Linked DNA regions of Arabidopsis thaliana. The protein of the gene in region 1 interacts with the protein of each later gene in a pairwise test. Each region holds a gene or a part of one and is shown in the gene's direction. Other genes may lie near its edges.

Evidence for each region. Proteins that work in one complex are often made in the same cells at the same time.
Region 2: the proteins of AGL61 (region 1) and AGL80 interact in binary tests that used the Arabidopsis thaliana proteins (3 or more experiments, as listed by UniProt).

What each region holds. Positions count from the first base shown.
Region 1 is NC_003071.7:10,579,119-10,582,532, forward strand, and holds AGL61 (AGAMOUS-like 61), read left to right. Parts: upstream 1-1,950; 5' UTR 1,951-1,963; coding exon 1,964-2,758; 3' UTR 2,759-2,897; downstream 2,898-3,414. Other genes in the region: AT2G24830 (zinc finger (CCCH-type) family protein / D111/G-patch domain-containing protein), read right to left, coding at 1-36. UniProt on the Arabidopsis thaliana protein: Probable transcription factor. Controls central cell differentiation during female gametophyte development.
Region 2 is NC_003076.8:19,738,091-19,741,614, reverse strand, and holds AGL80 (AGAMOUS-like 80), read left to right. Parts: upstream 1-1,773; 5' UTR 1,774-1,824; coding exon 1,825-2,790; 3' UTR 2,791-2,969; downstream 2,970-3,524. Other genes in the region: AT5G48660 (B-cell receptor-associated protein 31-like protein), read right to left, coding at 3,288-3,524. UniProt on the Arabidopsis thaliana protein: Probable transcription factor. Controls central cell differentiation during female gametophyte development. Required for the expression of DEMETER and DD46, but not for the expression of FIS2.

The sequences.
Region 1 (3,414 bases):
AAGATTTTCAAGGTCGTTGTTTTCTTCGCTCGCCATGGGAAGATGATTTTAGAGTCTCCCGCGGAGGAGAGAAGACGAGAGAGGAAGAAGAAAACTTCTTGGGTTCCGGGCCGACCCGGAAAATTAACCGGGTTTGCAGTTTATAATTTTTCATTTTATATGCGTTTGGTTGCAATTCGCATACGGTTCGGTTCAATTTAATTTGATTTGGTTTTGTATAATTTTTTGTTAAACTCTTAACTTTGTAGTTATATAACCGATTTGACAAATGCCCGAAACCGAAAACCCAAAAAAAATACCCGAATGCCCGATACCGAAAACCCAAAAAATACCTGAATCGATTCAGATCCGATTTTTAAAAATACGTCGAGTTCTAAACCTAATTACCCAAAAAAAAACAGAACCAAATCTAATACCTGTAAATATTCGAATATAAATATACACTTTAAAATATTAGTTATATTTATACTTATAATACTCCAAATATCCAAAATTACAATTATAAATTGAATATATTAGATAGTTTTGAGTAATTCGGATATATTTGGATAAAATGTAACCAATGTTATAGTTTTTAAAGGTAATTTGAATATTTTTGGATACACTTGGTTATATATAGGTAAAACGTAATTAATGTATTTTTGACTATCATGTGTTTTGGGTAGATTTAAGTATATATATAGATAAAACATCCAAATTTGACCCGAAACTAAAATATAGTTATTTTGGGTATTTTTAATTCTCGATTAAAATACATGAACCCCAATCCGCACCGAATTTTTGAAATATCGAATGAATCTCGACTCTCTTACCCACGCAGACCCAAAACCCAAAAAGGAACTTATCGGGTTTGGGTATCCGAATGCCAAGGCTTGTGGGGTTAATTCCCAAAGATTTAAACATACCAATGTTGTTTGACCACATTGTCTGTCTAGAGTCCCTTACGTGACAAACAATGCATTGATTTACCCTCTCACTAAGACTTTGATAATTTGTATCCAAACTTTCAAATCTCAATGTCGTCTCCAATGTGGCTTTTGAATGTCAGACTGGTATTTTTTGGATCATTTGGCCTATTTCGTGGAGTTTGTTCTCTTGATCGTGTGGCAAAGACGATAAAGTTGGTTGGGGTTGAGAACTGCATTTCTCTTGAGCCCTTGGTTGAAAACCTTAGTTCTCACTTTCTTAGTTAAAGTTATTGCCCTCGTGATTGTAACGTAAATCCTTTTTGAGTGCAAGGTTTTGTTAGGTAAGCTTGATATTGAGGCTTTTGTTTGGTAGAATTGAAAAGCCTAGGCTTGTAAGGTCCAGTTTCAGCCAAACGATTGAGCTCGCTGATTCGGAAACCATTTACCAAGTCAGACACTATAAATTAGACTTCAAATTTTCAAGATTTAAATATTAATTTGTGTATAATAATGCATGTTTATCAAATAGAAAAACAAGAAAAGATATTAACAACTTAAAACAATATTTTGATTTGGATAATACTTTAACATGTGTAAACGTTTTGATTTGCAACCTCTTTTGTAACATACACAATCACTTATCAGGACAATCATCCATTTATACACAAAGACAATTATAAAAGAAAGGAAAAAAATTCATTGCATTACCAAATTAAAATATTTATAACTAACACAAATCTTTGTATTTTATTATCTATCCACAAAATTAAAGACAAAACCAGTAATTACAAGTGGATGTTACAAATGTAAAAATAAATTACTAACTTTGCCATTTGATCTCATAATAATGCCACACAGACTCACTCATTAAAACAACCTTTTTGTAACATAAAGAAATTACTCATTAGGAAAATCATCCATTTATACACAAGACAATTATAAAAAGTAAAGAAAGATAAATCATTGCATTACCAAATTAAGATTTTTATAACTTACACATATCTTTGTATTTTATTATCTATCCATAAAATTAAAGGCAAGCCGAGTAATTACAAATGTATGTTACAAAATATAAAAATAAATTACCAACTTTGCAAGTTGATCTCATAATAATGCCACACCAGACTCAAGCATGTATATATAAACAAACACTTTCTCTCCACCAAATATTCCAACAAAGAAAAGCAACTAAAACCCTCCATACAAAAAAAACTATGATGTCGAAGAAGAAAGAAAGCATCGGACGACAAAAAATTCCAATGGTAAAAATAAAGAAAGAGAGCCACCGGCAAGTCACATTCTCCAAACGCAGAGCCGGTCTCTTCAAGAAAGCTAGTGAGCTTTGCACTTTGTGTGGTGCAGAGATTGGGATCATCGTGTTTTCTCCCGCGAAAAAGCCTTTCTCATTCGGACATCCAAGTGTTGAATCTGTATTGGATCGCTACGTGTCTCGAAACAATATGTCCTTAGCTCAGTCGCAGCAACTGCAAGGAAGCCCTGCAGCGAGCTGCGAACTGAATATGCAGTTAACGCATATTTTGAGCGAGGTAGAAGAAGAGAAGAAGAAGGGTCAAGCGATGGAAGAGATGAGAAAAGAGAGTGTGAGGCGGTCGATGATTAATTGGTGGGAAAAGCCAGTAGAGGAGATGAATATGGTTCAGTTACAGGAAATGAAGTATGCATTGGAGGAGTTGAGGAAGACGGTTGTGACAAACATGGCGTCGTTTAATGAGGCCAAAGACGATGTGTTTGGTTTCTTGGACAACAAAGTGACAGTCCCTCCTTACGTGAACATGCCTTCTGGTCCCTCAAATATTTATAATTTTGCCAATGGAAATGGTTGTTTCTGATTCATAATAATGCTTTTGGTTTTTGTGTTTTTTGGTAGCAAATAACTTGTAGGCTAGTATCTTACTAGCTGTATTTTCTTTCTTCAAATTATTTTTTGTTTCTATAGCACCATTGAGAAAAGATAAATGGATTCATGCCAACTTGTCAAGGGATCAAATCTTTATTAATGTTATCAGGTTGAACTACTTGAATGGTAAATGCATATATAGCTTAAAGTTAAGATTTACTTACAAGACTCGCATGTTAGAGGTTTTTTTTTAACGGCCGAAAAATCAATGAAGAAAGATAACAAATCAGGCAATACAGCCAAAAACAGAGCGTAATCACTCAAAAAAACAGAGACACAACGAGCGTCACTCCTCCTCAATGCGGTTATGCAGCCAAGCCAAACCTCCCGTTGATAGGTACGAGTTCAAACGTATTGAAATTAAACTTGATTTTGGGTTAAGCTAAATCATGGGTTTATAATCCAATATTCTATATTGGACTAAACCCAAAGTTAAGCCTAAGTTCTAGATTTTTCTATAAGCATCATAAAAATCATCACCTCCTTAAAGTAGGAGTTTGTAAGATAAAAAAATGTAGATATATTAGTAGAGTTATCGAGATGATGGTAGAATAATCTAGAAACTTTTGTAAGCTCACCCCATCATTT
Region 2 (3,524 bases), on another chromosome or scaffold:
TTTCCTAAACTGAAGCAAAATATACTGAATACTCAAATATTTATCTGTTACCAAATTATAAACAAATAAGTTCGTAAAACAATTTAATATTTTATATACAAAATCAATTAAATCTTAATCACATAAAAATTAGCACAAAAAAAGTATTCAACAATTAAAAAATTATCAAATCTCTGTGTTATATAAGTTTTGATACTATATTCGAATAAAGTGTAATATTCCTTTTAAGTTTGTATTCTTTAACTAATTTAAACTAACTAATATATTTGCTAATCTTATACCTATCAAAACCGACTATCGTTTCTTATCTTTATAGTATTTTTGCAAAACTTTTTTGGTGGATTTGGGTAAAAATGCATTCGGGTCATATGGTACATTCCCCTATTAAATAAATATGGTCTACTCCTATGTTATCAGCTAAAATATTTAAATTATAATTCAGAGTCATATCATTAGTAAAATTAATATTAATAAAATAAATGGCTTTTTGGCAAGACGGATTTGGAGTGACGGGTTTTTGAATCAACATTAATAAAAAAGTAAAATATAATTAATCCACCGTTTCAATACGGGTTAAATCTTTAATTTATTATTTCTTAAGACCACTAATATTAAACATATCAAATCATCCTAATTTAGAAAAAATTATATAAAACCAAAAATGTTATGTGGTATGTATAATGTTACTATATATAAAATTAAATTATAAACTATAAATGTATTAGAGAATGATACAATTTGCAAAACTTATATATATAAAAAAGAATTCTTAAATTTTAAAAATTATTACTTTAAAAGAAAAATCACAGGACGGGTAAATAAATTATAGAACAGGTTTTATTTTGGAATTGGGTTATATGGTGGATGTATTTGAATCAATTTTTATAAAATTTTAAAATATTATTAATATGTTGTTTTAATAGGGGTTACAACTTCAGTTTTTTAACAATTGTCTCATGGATTCGTGGTATAGCGTTACTTAATAACAATTATAAACTATAAAATATAAATATTTTATAAAAATAAAATTTGCAAATTTTAATATATATTACTTTTAAAAAATAAATCGTCCCGCGGTATACCACGGGTTAAAATCTAGTGTGTATTGTAAAATTCCTATCTATGCAAAAGCATGAGATTTATGAAACGATTTTTTTAGATTAACTCTATGATGCTTAGATCATTCAATAACCTATATTCATTGTTTCCAGTAAAGAAAAAAATCACAAAAATATATTGAAACAGAATCTTTGACTATCTTATAATACCAAATCCTACTAGTTATCACAATATTTGAAATTATATTTTTAAATAATTGTACTAAATGCATTTTGATTAAATAACATTACTAGATTGATATTTCTTGATTATTGTTGTTAAAAAGTAAAATTGTTTATTCTATTTTATTGTTTTCATATTATCATTCTCATATTAGATTAATACAATATTTATCTATGACTTTTGGACAATAGTATTTTCATATGTCAAACCAGTAGTCCTAATACATGTAAAATGAAAAACGGTTTTCATCTGTATCTAAAATCCATTCAGATTTTTTAATATAATGTTCATGCATTAAGCTTGATTTGGACGTTTAGATTTTTTTCTTGTAATAAAAGAAAAGATACCCTATATAACACAATTTTATTAGCAGTAAATATTTTATATTTTTTGACTACCTGTAATCTAAAATTAAATGTCACTTACTAAAAGAAACAAAATTTTGTACCCTTTCATTACTATATATATATAACAGTACATATTCACAATCTCAAAACAAAATACACAAATAAAAAAGAAAAAACAAAGAGAAATATTTTTTCAATGACAAGAAAGAAAGTGAAACTTGCTTACATTTCCAACGATTCTTCAAGAAAAGCGACTTTCAAAAAAAGAAAGAAGGGTTTGATGAAGAAGGTACACGAACTCTCGACTCTTTGTGGCATCACTGCATGTGCGATCATCTACAGCCCGTATGATACCAACCCTGAAGTGTGGCCATCAAATTCCGGTGTGCAAAGGGTGGTTTCAGAATTTAGGACACTCCCAGAGATGGATCAACACAAAAAGATGGTAGATCAAGAGGGTTTTCTCAAACAAAGAATCGCGAAAGCGACAGAAACTTTGAGGAGACAAAGAAAGGATAGTAGGGAGCTAGAGATGACTGAAGTCATGTTCCAATGTTTGATTGGAAACATGGAGATGTTTCATTTGAATATTGTGGATCTTAATGATTTGGGTTATATGATTGAGCAATATCTTAAAGATGTTAATCGCAGGATTGAGATTTTACGAAATTCTGGTACGGAGATTGGTGAATCTTCTTCTGTTGCGGTAGCTGCTTCTGAAGGGAATATACCAATGCCGAATTTGGTCGCTACAACAGCTCCCACCACTACAATTTATGAGGTGGGTTCTTCTTCCTCATTTGCGGCTGTCGCGAATTTTGTTAATCCTATTGATCTTCAACAATTTCGTCATCCGGCGGCTCAACATGTTGGACTTAATGAGCAACCTCAAAATCTAAATCTGAATTTAAATCAGAACTATAATCAAAATCAAGAATGGTTTATGGAAATGATGAACCATCCTGAGCAAATGAGGTATCAGACAGAGCAAATGGGATATCAATTCATGGATGATAACCACCACAACCACATCCATCACCAGCCACAGGAGCACCAACATCAGATCCATGACGAATCTTCCAACGCTCTTGATGCCGCCAACTCAAGCAGCATCATCCCTGTTACTAGTTCAAGTATTACCAATAAAACATGGTTCCATTAGGTTTTTGTTAAATGTTATATTACAATAATTTGGATGAATTGATAAGTGAAATTATGATCAGCTTTAAGTTTTTTTGTGTGTAATAAATTGCATTACAGTTTATGTTCTCAAAGTTGTGAGTTTGTGACTGTGTTATCTTTACTATTATAGTTTTGCAATAATTATGCCTTTTAAAGTCGTAGATGTGTGATACTTTTATTTTTGTTGTTTATTTTTCCATGTGATATGTGTTTTTCCCCACAAATATGTCAACCAAGCTTGGAAAAGCTCTTACCAAACGGGTTTTAGTTACAAATTAACTATCTTAGCTCTCTTTCTTTGTCATACTCAACGCTGATTTTGATATAATTGTCGTCACAAAAACATTCCAAAGACTTGAGAAGAAACAAGAACCATTCAATATCCATACACTAAAAACAAAAATGTTGCAAGAATTCCTGCAACTACAATACTCTATAAACTCTCTCATTGTTAAATAACACCAGACAATCTTAACATCAGCTCTTGGTTTTCCCCAAGATTTGGCTTTGGAGATGTTGGTTATCTTCTAGCAATCTATCATACTCTAGAAGCAGCTCTGCAGACTGTTTCTGTAACGCCGTAACATGTGTTTCAGCAGTTTCGAGTTTCTTCTCTTTCTCTTTTGACTCAGTCTCTGCTTTCTTTAGTCTCTCTGTAATAGATGACAATTTTACTTGCAACTGCTTGATTTCCTTGGATGCTTTCTCCTCTTT